Rhinolophus ferrumequinum: one gene and its partner. The protein of the gene in region 1 binds, or shares a complex with, the protein of each later gene. Links are inferred from orthologs where the notes say so. Each region holds a gene or a part of one and is shown in the gene's direction. Other genes may lie near its edges.

Region 1 (7,215 bases):
GCTTTTGTCTAAGTGTTTAAGGAACTTTTAACGTTTTTCTTTGAAGTCTAAGTTTTCCTAGGATATGTCTTGGTGTTGGATATCTGGGTTGATATGCTTAGATAAACAATGTTCTCTTTCAATATATAGTTTTACACCTTTATAATTTTCAGTTTCAGGAAATATTTTTTTGAATTACAGTTTTGAGTTATCTCTTCCATTTCTTTGCTTGGGTTTCCTTTTGTAGTGACTCCGATTGTAATTATGTTGGATCTTCTTTGCTTATCTTCAATATTTATTATTTTCTCTTGAAATCTAGTTACCTTTGTATTTTTAGTTTTAGTTTTTTTCCCTTTCTACCCTCTATTTCTCTTAAGGCATTATCTCTTACATTTATCGGTGTGTTACATCTAGGTTAATTTTTATTTCTAAGATTTTTTTTTCTTTTACTTCTCTTCCTTTCTTAAGTTATATCACTTCTTTCCTGAGATTTTTAAACTCTGGTTTATGTTGTTCTTCCATAGCATGTATCATTTTGAAGATCTTCGGCTTATTGTAAAATTTCTTTGTGGTTATCTGTATACTTAGGCACTTTATCTAGTTATTAATATCATTCATTTACTCAACACATATTTATTGAGCATGTAGATAGGTTTGTAGCCTGAAGTTGAACCACACTAGCCAATCAAGCTCATTGTTTTATGCTACTCAAATTTTGTGGTTGTTTGTTATGCAACAAAAAGCTAATACACCATATTTATAATTATTAAGTTCTATCTGTGTTTATCTCAGCAGAATACTTTTACACCATGAATTCTCTGTTCTTGAAATCTTCATTTTTGACCCTATCAACTGGATTTATGTCTTCAGAAACATTTTAAGGAAATATATTTTCCAGGAATTAAAAGTTTGAAATTTTTTTTTTACTTCCATAAATGAATGACATATATGTGATTTAGAAAATTGCTGAGTCATAATACTTTCCCTCTGAATCTTTGTAGATATTGCCTCATTACCTTTTGGCATTTAGTTTAATGAACAAATTTTGACTGATTTTTTTTGTCCCTTTGTAGGTTGTTAGGTTTTTTTTTCGTGTGAAAAAAAAATGCTTGCAAGACATTTTCTAAATTCCTCAAACTAAAAAAAAAAAAAAATTCTTCAGCATGTTTTTAGTTCATAGCCTCTCTTAATTGATTCTGTCTTGAATTCAGTGCGCTCTTTCACTTGCAGACTAATGAGAGCTCATAAACATTTTCTATTATATTTTTCATTATTTATTCTACTCATTTTGTACATGTGTATTATTTCCTCTAATTATATTAATTAATCAAAGGCTGTTCCTCAGTTCTCTGACTCCTATATTTATCATTTCTTTAAATCTCATGGATTTCATCTCCTTGTCTTTTTCATCTGCATTCTAGGGGGAAAGGTGGTTTTCCACTTCTTCTTCCATATCAATAATTAAATTTTTCTAGTTACTTTGAAAAATTGTTAGGTGTAATGAGTTATAATCTGTAAACGGTAAGATTAACCCCTTTTAAGTCTACAGTTGAGTAAGACTTGACAAACATATTTAGTCACCACCATAATAAGTCCACTCTGGGAAAAGAAAAGACAGTAGAGAACCTACAACTGACCTTTGGAAAATGGCCATATTTTGGATCAGAAGGAAAAATAAATTAGAGGACTGGCTTTTTAGCCCCACTTACTGCTATCATTATAGAAGATTTCAGGGCCCATATAGAGAATCCTTCCACTCTCTTGGCCCTATTATGGGCTGAATGGTGTCCCCCCAAAAATTCATATGTTGAAGTTCTAACCCTGTATCTCAGAAAGTGACTCTACTTCAATACAGGGCCTTTAGAGAGGTAATTAAGTTAAAATGTAGTCATTAGGGTGGGCCCTAATCCAATAACATTGGTGTCCTTCTAAGATGAGGAAATTTGGACACTGACAAGTACATAAGGAAGACTATGTAAAGGAGAAGACAGCCATCTCCAGGAGAGAGGCTTAGAACAGATCCTTCCTTCATGGTCCTCAGCAGAAGTCAACCCTGCCAACTCCTTGATATCGGACTTCTAGTCTTCATAGCTGTGAGGAAATAAATTTCTGTGGTGTAAACCAACCAGTCTGTGATATTTTGTTATGGCAGTCTGTGGTACTTGTTATATACTTTCTCAACCTTTTGATCCACCATCAAGCAAAATCTCAAACATGGACTATTCCAATCCTCCCAGGTTATTTAAAGAATGCTGCAGAACCACCCCACCCTTACAACTGGGCAAGAGTGGTTCCTGTATAGGACCTAGTGCCTTAGAGGTTCAATCTAGCTCTTTTCCAGCTGTGCCCCACCCCAAAGATCAAGGAATCCGTGGGGATAAGAAGACATATTAACTCAGAACCTATGCCTTAACTTTTAGACAGTGGTTTTATGTACCTGGTTTCTGAAATTCTTTTCTGAAATTATCTGTTCACACAACTCCAAAAAAGCTAACAGTGACTTTTCCCCAGTCATTCTTGCTGATGGCCAACAGTGCTTCTAGTATCAATATCCTTAGGCCTAACATGTAGCAAAAGGCCCCTAGGCCCAAGAGGTGACCAAGCAGTGGGGCATGGGTAGGTTTGCCAAATAAGATACAGGACATCTTGTTAAAATTAATATCAGACAGACAACAAATAATTTTTTTAGTATAAGCAAGTTCTGAATATTGCATGGGACACACTGATACTAAAAAAGTATTTGTTGTTTATCTAAAATACAAATTTAACAGACCATCCTTTTTTTTTTCCCCCAACAAATATGGCAACTCTAGGTGGGGTCAGAATTGGACAATTTAGCTGGGTGACCATATGCATGAGAGCAAGGCCCATAAACGGTATTGGAGTGGGGGTGGGGGTAACATAGGAAAGCCAGGATACATGGGCCAATCTTATTTCCTTGAATCACCCGTATTTTGTCTGACACACAGGAATTCTAAATTCATCCTCATTTTCCAGGTCATTTTCAAAACAGGAAAATAGAACACATCTTCTTTTTACATTTTTTAACTGTATTTATGATAGTTAAATATTTAGGTATTTGGTACGCAGGTCTCCGTTTTAACTCTTGCCCCAGCTGTACAAAATGTCAAAGGGTTAGGGCTGCTGCAGAATATTGTCCTGAGTCATCACCAACTATATTTAAAAGATGAGGAAACTAAGGCTTAGAAAAGTTATATATAATTTGTTCAGTCGTTCACTAGTGAAATCCATTTTCAATGTTAGATCTGTTTGAATACAAACCAAATATTTTTAAATTACATATACAGTATGGTGACTACAGTTAATAATGCTGTCTTGTATATTTGCAAGTTGATAATAGAGATCTTAAAGGAAATATTCTTCATCACCAAAAATAATTTACTATTTGTAAGTTGAACGTATCCTTTGATTACATCATTTAACATGCATGCAAAAAGCTAGAGCATTTCGCGGGATATCAAAGATAGGTATAATGGAAATCCCAGTTGTTCAGGCTTTTGTCCTGAATTTTATGGGTTCAGACACTTGTTTTGTAAGTGTATCCACATCTGACAAACCTATGGGTTAGTGTTATAATTCGAAACACTGACTTATAAGACAATGCGAATTTAAGTTTATAACGACCAATGTATTTGGCAGAATGATAATTCGTAGTAATTCCTTTTAAGAGGATCAAATTATAATTCCAAACTGCCTTAGTCTAATGTTAGAACAACAGGAGTAAATACTCTTAAGGTATTATTTCCATCAAGATAGGTGAACTGTCATATTCCACTCTAAGAACAACCCAGACGACAGTGGGGAGGCAGTTCAGATGCTTTGAAGCTCAACATACCTGGGTTTTTACTCCTTACTAATTAAGTACTTAACATCTGCAGGCCTCGGTTTCCTTATTTCGTAAAAATAAGATTCCTTTAATGGTTCAGATTATACACGTAAAACATTTAGCATATTATCATGATACTATTTATATTTTACATAAAATATACATTATAACATCAAACATTATATATTATTGTTATGCTATTTATTGTCATTGTTCTATTTATTACTGTTCTATTTAACAACTCTCTAGCTAACCTGGAGAAACAGGCCATAAGCGCTCTTCCCAGAGAGAGGGGCGGGTACGAGTTACCATGACAACAGCGCGCGCGCCTAGACATTTTCCGCTGGTGCGTCGCTGGGGAAGAAAAAAGCCTAGGCTGCGTGTTGCGTCATCACTACGCGCTCGTTGGGTTTCTCTGTGCTGTTTTGGAACGTCCCGGCCCGGCTCCTGTCGCCGCAAGCCAGGAATTTTTTTTTTCCCTCCAATCTTTGTTACATCGCACCAAGACTGCAAGACTGTAAGTACTGAAAGAAGAAAGAAAGAAAACGGGCGAGTGAGCATTGAAACAGATGCCGCGGCACACTGCCCACCTCTGAACCTTCCCTGTGTTTTCTTGATCCTATCAGCTTCCTCTCAGCTGGGATCGCGCCGCGTCAACTTCCGGGCGGGTGCCCGCCAGCACGGCCTCCGCCGCTCCCCTGCTTTGGCCCCTTTGTGTCCCCGCAGTGTCGAGGCGCGGGCCCTGGCACGTCCTTTCTCGAGGCAGGGTGCACCGTAGGGCAGGGAGCCTCTTACTGTGGGCGGGCGCACGGCCCCCAGGGGGGTTAGAGTGGGGAACGTGCCTGCGCGTGCTGGGGTAAGAGGAGGTTGCACGAGGGTCAGCTTGTGGTTTGAGGAAGGAGGGGCGTGGGGGGTGGGGAACGAAGGGGAGTAAAAGAAGCAGTGGAAAAATAAAATAAAAAAAGATACCCCGTCCACCTTCTAATCGTTGTGGCCTAACAATGAAGCGCAGCCATAATGGCCATGCTGAGCCTCTGGCACATTTGCGGGCTCTTAATTGCCTTGGGAATGAACTGCTATGGCTTTGTATTTTATATTGTTTTCATGGCCTCTTTTTCTCTCTTTATTTTCTCCCTGCAGATAGTTCATTTAAAACTCCCAACCCCACAGGGTGGTGGTTTCTACCAATATGAATCTTTTCAACTTGGACCGTTTTCGCTTTGAAAAAAGGAGTAAGATTGAGGAAGCGCCTGAAGCAACCCCTCAACCCTCCCAGCCTGGCCCTTCTTCACCAATTTCTCTTAGTGCTGAAGAGGAGAATGCTGAAGGGGAAGTTAGCAGGGCAGGCACCCCTGATTCAGATATAACTGAAAAAACAGGTGAGTTATGATGCAAATTGATGTAGCATCAGGAGATATTTTTAAAAGATGAAAGGCAGAAGTGATATTTTTATTCTTGATGTTATACCTAATAATGCATTGTTTTACACCGTACCCTTTTAAATACAGTTTTGGGACTGCCATAGACATCATGTATCTCCAACTAAGTGTCCATCCATAAAAGCTTCACTTTTATTCTTGGAAAATGGCCCTATGATGGAAGTTCAAGTCAGAATTTAGGTTATCCTTAGGTCAGAGTGGTTGCTACTAGAAGAGGAACTAAGCGAGTCAGTCCTATGAATCGCCTAGTTATTTATCACCTAGTTATTTGGCCAGACATTTAAGTTGATTCCAGTATTTCTCCAAAAATATTGATCACCTATTATTAGCTAAACTATTCAAGGTGCCTGAAGACAGTCTCTGAATAAACGAAGATCACATTCAGATTTTGCCACTACTTCCTGGAGAGCCTCTGAGTGCTCAAGAATAATTGGTATTGTTCATGGTGAATGAACCATTTTTAACCTCCAGCAGATTGTCAGGGATAATAGGATTTGAGAAGAAGCCAAAAATTAGCATTTCCATTTTAATCTTATGTTCTTTGGGCAGTTAAAAATTTAGAATATAGTTGAATTCTTACTATGTTTAGGCATAGTGCTTAGTGCTTCACATTTTCTCATTTAATTTACACAGCAGTCCTACTAGATGTCTACATTTTGCAGAAATGAGATCCAGGGAGGTTCAAGTGTTAAGAAGTTGGTAGAACCAGAACTCAGAGGCAAGCAGTCTAATTCCTGACCTTAAACAGGAACTGTACACATACAGTTTCTGATGAACGGTAAAAAGGATATAAGAAGTTTTAATGTTTATTTCTGTAATACCTTTTTAAATGCAAAACTCAGTATTTCACAAGCAGCTTTTAGATTAAGGTGGCCCTGACGAGATTGGTAAAATATATGCCTTAGCTTAACCCTGGGTATCTCTGTTTTTTTGGTACTCTTGTATTTAAATGTAACAGTGATGGCAGAATCCCTATAAGTTATAGAATAACATTTTAAAATACTTTAGTGTAATTGGAACATTGGGGAATGATATAGTAGGTTGAATTAAGTGATAATTAGAAGTCAGATTTTGAAAGGCTTTGTCTTAAGGGTTTTGAACTTGTCTGAATTCTGTGGGGAAGAACTGAAGGATGTTAAGCACAGGAGGTATATCCCTTTGTTTATTCTTTAAACAGATAATTTGATTCGCATAACATGCTGTAGTTAATGTCTAAACATCCAGGTACTTTACTACTTTAACAGTAAATGCATTAGTATGTTTCTTATATAGTTAAGGCAGGGAAGGGCAGGATTGTAGGCATGAATTTTGAGTCCTTAGCCTCTGCTTCTCCGTTTTAGTTAAATGTGACATTGAACAAGTCATTTAAAATCTGAGATCCACAATTTTTTCATTTGTAAAATAAAAGCACTTTGTAAAGTGGAAATCAATGGAATTTTTAGTTATTTATCAATATTAGTAATGTAAAATTCTTAATTGCCTTTTCTAATCAGATGCTTTTTTGCATTACTTTTTTTTTTGTCTGAGGAGACTTCACTCCTTTTCATTGGGACTTCAGGAATCTCGTAGTTAGTCTTCATGACACTGGAAAATATGAAAATTAGGTTCATCTGGGAATGGTGAGAATTCATCCTATGAGGAATAGAGAGCTTTGGTTTAAAGCACATTATTGTAAATGGTACTGTGAATTTTGGAGAATCTTGAAAACTAAGGCTAAATTTTGACTTTACATTTTGATACTAGGGATCCATTAAAAACTTTAGGTAGAAGGATAAAATGAAAGAAAGTTGTGTAAAAATCAGTCTAGCAGTTGTGAGTACTCTATATTTTTAGAGGGTAGGGCTTGAAGGGAGAGAAATTTCTTAGGAAGCTTTTATAACGCAAACTTAATAACAGCAGTAGAAATGGAGAAAAAAGAGATGTGATTTTTTTTTTTTAAATTAAAGTTAT
Region 2 (7,000 bases), on another chromosome or scaffold:
AAAAGACAACAGATAGGCTCACTTAAGGTAAAGATTGACCTTTGTTAAGGAAGCTACAGGCCAAGCATATGACTTCCCTGCCATGGCCCACCTTAGTTAGGAATTTTTATGTTCACACTGTCCTATGTGGTCATTTTCAGTCTCCTGAGCTTGTCAGGTTTAACATGTGGTCCCTTTTCTGTCCACAAGGCAAAGAAGGATTCTTTCTCCCCTAGAATCTTCGGAGGGATTGTGACCTGGCCCTCCCTGTATCTGAACCTCAGAATTCTGGCCTCTAGGACTGTGAATTAAATTTTTGTTTTAAGCCATCAAGTTTGTGGTAATGTGTTACAGTAGCCACAGGAAACTAATGGAGGAACAATCATGATTTTAAAGGGTGATTTAGAGGGTCTAGTGCCTTCTCTGCCTTACCTGCATGAGTGTTTTTATCTCTTGTTTTCTGTCTCCAACCCATCTACTCCCCACCTGGAACCCTTAAAATGGGAATCAGATCATGTCATTCCTAACAATTAAAGAACAGCCCAATCAGAAACCATATGTGGGACAGCGGTTGTGTGCATTACAGCACAAGCAGGAGGGAGGCCCAAATGCGATCAAGAGGAGGATGCACAAACTAACTAGGGTATTTGTGTGATGAGGCCCACATACAGTCACACGGATGTACACTCAGGGAAGGAAACCAGACAGACGTGCAAACTCGGCGTGTTTCAATAAGCAGACCAGTGAAGCTTCTCTGTGTTGAGAGAAGTCAGGATGGCAGCGGCTATGAGGGTCATGGAGGGCTCCTGGGAGCCAGAGACGTTCCATTTTTTTTTTTGCTCTCAGAGCTGATTCTGTAGGGTGCTTGCTGTATGTAAGATGTGTGTGCTTTCCTCTACTTATTAAAGCCTCCATCAAAAAGTTAAAAAGTTCATAGAAACAGAAAGATGATCAGTGGTTGCCAGGGGCTGGTGGGAGAGGGAAAGGAGAGTGCTGATGGATACAGGGTTTCCTTTTGGGGTGTTGAGGTGGTGATTGCACAACATAGTGAATGTATAAATTGCCACTCACTGACTGCATGCTGTAAAATAGCTAACATGATGAATCTGATGTCATGTGAATTTTCACCACATTTTAAAAACAGCTTTAAAAGTAGTAGAATCCAAAACTCATCTTGTAGCCTACAAAATTGGCAGACTCCAGACAGTCATCATCTCCATGCGTCTGTTTGCCCTTTTATACATGTACTGAGTGCCTATGGTGGACTGGGCCCTGGGCTAGGCATGGCAGATACTGCAGTGAGCACAAACAACTTGGAGCGCCTGTCTTTGTGATTCTCTGTAGTTGAAATGTGTAGGAAGAGAGGAACCAGCCACGACCCCAAAGCTCTTATCAAAATCTGATTTTTATGTGTGTGGTAAAATATACACAACATGAACTGTCCAGTTTTACTATTGTAAAACATACAATTCAGTGGCATTAAGTATATTCATGTTGTCCTACAACTACAACTGTCTAGTTCCCAGATGAAATCTGTGCAGATGGAGTAAGAGATTGGAGTGATGCAGTCACTAGACCTCCCAGAGAAATAGCTTTGGGGGTGACACCTGAAGGTTGGAAGGAGAGCCAGGTGCAGGTGTGGAGTGTGGGGAAGGGAGAAGGTGGCTGCCCGCAGGCCTTGGCTGCCCTTGGTGCCGTATGAGTGATTCCTATAGTTTCCACCCTTGAGACCTGTCTGCAAAGCCAGGATGTAGACAATTTCTAATGAACAAGGACTGGAAAGGGTGAGATACTGTAAAGGGTGGACGGGGAGCACAGGGGATGAGAGCAGAAATGACACTGACTGCTCTGTCTGACCTAATGGCCGGGGGTGGGGGTGGGGGGCAGAGCCAAGATGTACCTGTCTTCTGGATCTCTGGATAGGCTGCATCTTCAGAGAGGACCTTTTTGCAAGGGTTCTGCCCTGGCCTTGCTTGCTTGTATGCCCACTCTAGCTCAGCTAGTCCTGGGATGCCCCTTTTGCCCGAGTCCGCCTGAACCTGGTTTCCAGTTGATCCCCCTGTCCCAATGCCATCTTGGCACTTCCAGAAGCCTTGGTTTCCCTATTTGGACAAGGGGGCTGGCAGTGGCCCAGCAGTGGGTGGTAAGGCCACTCTCCAAGGCCTGCTGCTGGCACCCTGCCTGTGTGGCCATGTACTGGGAAGGTCCAGGGCCCAGGAGGAAGGGGAGACTGTTTAGAGAGAACAGGATAGGCCTTGGCAGGCCGTTGAAACCACAGGACCAGTTACCAGAGTCTAGTGAAGGGCAGCTGTCTGGCAACTTCTAGGTATGATGCACCCTGCTCACTTCCCAGCTCCGTATGTGCCCAGTCAGCTTCAGGGCCTTTGCACTTGCTTCTGCCTTAACTGTCTTTCCTGCAGGTGTTTGGGGACAGCACCTACGGAAGCCCACTCCCACACTCTTTACCATCAACTACTTATTTTGACTCTCTGGTCCCTGACCCACGTGCCCCCCTCCCTCCTTCGTCTGCCCCAGGGGCCAGGGTAGGTATGGGTTACACCCCCTTTGGGGCCCAGCGCAGGACGGGGTCGCCCAAAGTATCCAGCAAATACTACTAAAGGACGTCACATCTCACCCTATGGGCGGCCAGCTACCAACTTTCCTTCCCAATTACCAGAGAAAGGAAAAAAGAAAACAAGGGCCCGCGGCCAGGGCCTCGGAGGGGGTGGGTGGGTGGGTAGGGGGGGGGTTGGGTGGGTAGGGGGCGTGGCCCCACCCGACGCAGCTGAGGGGGCAGCGTCAGGCTTGGAACAAAGGCAGGCGCCGAAACAAAGCCCCAAGGCCCCCAGTACCCTTCGGGAACAAAGGCTACGCCTATCTCTCCTGGACCAGGCACGCCTCCGCCGCCAAGGGTGGCGCCTGAGGAGCTAGGTGAGGGAGGCTGCAACTGCTCCCCCTGCAGCCTCGGCGTGTGCGAGCCAGGGAGACTCCGAGCAGTGTCTTGCGGCTCTGCATCCTCTCAAGAGCTGACCCCGGCAGACAGGATTCACTTCTCCAACCCTGCTTCCCTCCCTAGAAGTCCACCTCCGTTGAAGTTCGGTTCGGCCACCTGGAAAAGCATCCAAGTCAACACAGATGCTGGCTGGAGACGGGAAGGGGCGCTTGGTGGGCCAGGCGTGATCTCAAGACTCGCCGCTCTGTAGCCCCTTGGGACCTATTCGATTCGGGCAGGTTTCAGTGTTTCTCACGTTAAACAATGAAAAGGTTAAAACCGAAAAGTCAGCCTGCCAGATCAGAACGCAACTTCTTTCTGGGATGGGAACACTCTGCCCCTTTCTCGGGCCCGCCGTCTCCTCCAGGTCTTGGCCCCGCCCCCTCTCCCGAACGCCTATTGCAATGACTGGAGACGTCTCCCGGCCGCCAAAGGGGCGGGGATTGAGGTGGAGGCCTGGGCTGACAATCCGCGTGCGCAGCACAGCGGCCAGACTGTGGGGCCAGAGGGGAGGTGGAGCACTCTCTAAAAACCGTGAGCGCGTTCTACGTTGCGGCTATAACGTCAATGATGCTCCGCCCTGCCTCACAGGCGGCGCCGGGGTGGTGCCGGCGAAGGTAGGAGGATCCAACTCAGGCGCGTGCGTACTCGCTGCCTCTTCTATAGCGATCGGCCCGGGCCCCGCCCCCAAGCTCAAGGCGCCCAGCGCGCCTGCGCAACGGCGTCGGCGCCAGTTATTTCTGTCCCGCCCCCGAGCCGCGGCTCTTTCTGCGAGTGGGCGCACGGGCGAGCGGTTGTTCGCGTTGCGTGTCTTGGGTCTCCGAGGCCACCGAGAGGGAAGCGCGGGCGTCGGCGTCGGCGGGAGGCGAGCAGGCAGCGGCTGGCCGTGCCTCGGCAGCGCCCTGCGCGCAGCGGGCGGAGGCCCAGGCGGCGCGTGGCGGCGCTCGGCCTCGCGGCGGCGGCGGCATCGGCAGCTACCCAGCCGTTGGCGGCGAGTGCATCTGCGCCTGCGCGGCGGGCCCCGCGCCCCTCCTCCCCCTGGGCGCCCGCGGCGGCGTGTGAATGGCGGCCTCGGCAGCAGCGGCCTCGGCCTCGGCGGCGGCGGCGGCAGCCGCTTCGGGCAGTCCGGGCCCGGGTGAAGGCTCGGCGGGCGGCGAAAAACGTTCCCCTGCCGCGGCCGCGGCCTCGGCGTCGGCTTCCGCCTCGGCATCGTCGCCTGCGGGGGGCGGCGGCGAGGCGCTGGAGCTGCTGGAACACTGCGGCGTCTGCCGGGAGCGTCTGCGGCCTGAGAGGGAGCCGCGCTTGCTGCCCTGCCTGCACTCGGCCTGCAGCGCCTGCCTTGGGACCCCGGCGCCTTCCGTCGCCAACAGCTCGGGGGACAGCGGCGCGGCGGGGGACGGAGCCGGTGGGTACAGTCTGACCCCGCCCTCCACCCGGCAGCTTTCGATCCCGACCTGGCGCGCAGATGGGGAGTTTGTGCTTAGTGTGTGGCGGGTGAATCGGCTAGGCGAGAGGATAGGGTCCCGGAGAGTGCTCTGCCGGGCGCTGAGATGGGGCGTGTGCTTCAAGTTCGATGAAAGAAGGGTTTGTTTGGCTTCTGTTCTGGGAGGGCAGGTCCGGCCCAGCATGGGATGCCTGAGATGGAAACTGGGGTCCAGTGGGACGATGGGGTTATATATAGTCTGGATGTGATCATGGAATGGTTTCAATTCCTTTTATTCTCAGCAGTCGTGGATTGTCCTGTGTGCAAGCAGCAGTGCTTCTCCAAAGATATTGTGGAGAATTATTTTATGCGTGACAGTGGCAGCAAGGCTGCCGCTGACTCCCAGGATGCGAATCAGGTATGTTCCGTTCTAGCAACATTTAGGAGGCTTTGGGCCTTGGGGAGGGGTCATCAGCTCAGGGGCATGGTTATATTTCCAGTTTATTCTTCCTACACTGTGAGCATTTGGGCAAATTGTTCAGGCTAGGTAAAGGCACCACTTAACGTTTCTTGGATTGCAAATGCCAGCATTTCTGGTGGTTGTGTTTCCTGACTCTACCTTTGCCTGGCAGTGCTGCACTAGCTGTGAGGATAATGCCCCCGCCACCAGCTACTGTGTGGAGTGCTCTGAGCCACTGTGTGAGACATGTGTGGAGGCACACCAGCGGGTGAAGTACACCAAGGACCACACCGTGCGCTCCACTGGTACACAAGGCGGATGGAGGGGGGCCTGGGTTCCCCTTCTACATAAGTCTTCAGCTGCTTAAGTGGGTTGCAGATGGTGGATTTGTCCCAGGACCTTCACTAGGGGGCACTACCTGAAAGGCCTGGTGGCAGAACTCAAAATCAGAAGATTGGGGCTCTGGTATGCGGTCTTATGGTCCAGGTGGGGGAGGGGGAGAAAGGCCCCCGGTGCTGCGGAGGGCGGGGGGTGTGCACAGGAGACTGAAGAAGCTCACAGGGACCTACCTCATTGTGCCTCAGAGTGTACAGAGGGTTCAAGGAAGCTCATCAGGGGAGGCTCCCCGCTATCCCCCCTGTGCAGACAGGGAAATGCCTGTCTGTGGTGGAGGAACTGCCCTGTGCAGACAGGGAAATGCAGGGTATTTGGAGAGAGATGTGAGGGGCCTTCTTGACTTGGGGTTCCTTGGCACCTGCCTTAAGGCTCTGTAGGAGAAAGGCCCTCCAGCCACAGCGTCTTGACAAGCTGTGAGGGCTGGCCTTCGGGCCATTACTGCCAGTCGTTTTATCTTTGGGGTGTGGGTGTCTTAAAGCGCAGCTGGGTATTTCCAGACTTTCTGTGAATGCTGGCAGTGGTATGGCAACTGACTTGTTAGCTTTCTGAGTCTAGCCTGGTTTTTCATGTACAAGTTCTGAGTGGCCTTTTGGTAGTTACACTGGCAGCTTCAGCACAGAGGACAGTACTGGTGGGAAGATGAGGATGGCAGTGGTGGCTGTGCAGCATGAGGAGCGAGGAGGGACAGGCAGAGGATCCTGGATTTTAGGCAAAGGTCAGGGTGTAGGATGAAGTAACATTGAAGGAGCTGATGCCTGGTTTGTATCTCAGTATCGCATAACTCAGGCTGGGTTGGTATTGCCGGGATGTTTTTGGGATTGAGGAAGAAAGCGGAACAGACTCCCAAACAGCTTTCTAATGGTGACAGACACTGGGTGGGGAGGGGGTTGTAAATGTGGTATACTGGTCTTTGGGTGGTATAACAGTACCGGGACCTGTCGCCCCCAGGGGGCCTGACACCTTTTTGAGAGTCCTGGTCTGACACCTCATTTCTGCCAGCCTGAGGAGGCTCTGCAATGCCGCCTGAGGGCCTATGGCTTGTAAGGTACACGGCCTTCTCTGAGCAAAGAAGAGGGGAGGTCAGCAGGCATGGCTCCTGAGGAAGCTGCCTGAGTGGTGCCTCTAGGCCCTGATTCGCTTTCTGTCTGTGCCAGAAAGCAAATGTTCTTCGTGCCCGGGATGCCTCAGTAGCCAGAAAGCCCCCCTGCTGGACAGAGCCTGCTGTGAGTGGAAGAGAAAGGGAACCCAGTGGGGGGTTCGGAGGCGGAGGAACTCTTTTGAGTGTCCACCTGGAGAAGGTTCCAGTAGAGGGACCAGCAGCGGGGAGGTATCCTGTCAAAGGCCATCATCCTCACACTGCCAGAAGCTGGAGGGGGTGGTCTCTTGGTCAGGCTTGGGACAGGAAGCTTTGAGAGGAAGGGTCTGGGCTCTGGGGCCTGTGCTCTTCCTGGGCCCTGGTTGCAGGGCCCCTGGGTTTTCCCAGTAGGTAGCCCAGGGCTGCAGGACAGGCAGGAAGTTAGGCCCCGAGTTGGACATGCTGAGGTTGGGCTCCCTCCTTAAGATACCCATTTCCCAGGGCCAGCCAAGTCCCGAGATGGCGAGCGCACAGTGTACTGCAACGTTCACAAGCACGAGCCCCTCGTGTTGTTCTGTGAGAGCTGTGACACCCTCACCTGCCGGGACTGCCAGCTCAACGCCCACAAGGACCACCAGTGAGTCCTGCGATAGGGCCGGGGTGGGGGCTCTTCTG

Evidence for each region. The genes of interacting proteins can lie anywhere in the genome.
Region 2: the proteins of SMARCAD1 (region 1) and TRIM28 are in contact, whole or in part, in a crystal structure (PDB 6H3A), measured with the Homo sapiens proteins. The link is inferred for Rhinolophus ferrumequinum from reciprocal best matches to the Homo sapiens genes SMARCAD1 and TRIM28. Residues at the interface, in NP_001362784.1 of Homo sapiens: Asp156, Leu157, Ala160, Lys161, Gln163, Thr164, Glu167, Leu168, Phe169, Asp188, Gly189, Ala190, Ala192, Leu196, Ala201, Gly202, Gly203; in NP_005753.1 of Homo sapiens: Arg330, Trp333, Thr334, Lys337, Ile338, His341, Leu376, Lys377, Ile379, Val380, Asp381, Val383.

Annotation. Positions count from the first base shown.
Region 1 is NC_046288.1:46,988,459-46,995,673, forward strand, and holds the start of SMARCAD1 (SWI/SNF-related matrix-associated actin-dependent regulator of chromatin subfamily A containing DEAD/H box 1), read left to right. Parts: upstream 1-4,205; 5' UTR 4,206-4,343; intron 4,344-4,476; exon of another isoform or gene 4,477-4,682; intron 4,683-4,966; 5' UTR 4,967-5,015; coding exon 5,016-5,205; intron 5,206-7,215. UniProt on the Homo sapiens protein: DNA helicase that possesses intrinsic ATP-dependent nucleosome-remodeling activity and is both required for DNA repair and heterochromatin organization.
Region 2 is NC_046298.1:50,976,857-50,983,856, forward strand, and holds the start of TRIM28 (transcription intermediary factor 1-beta), read left to right. Parts: upstream 1-3,984; 5' UTR 3,985-4,033; coding exon 4,034-4,376; intron 4,377-4,696; coding exon 4,697-4,812; intron 4,813-5,026; coding exon 5,027-5,159; intron 5,160-6,404; coding exon 6,405-6,473; intron 6,474-6,826; coding exon 6,827-6,962; intron 6,963-7,000. UniProt on the Homo sapiens protein: Nuclear corepressor for KRAB domain-containing zinc finger proteins (KRAB-ZFPs).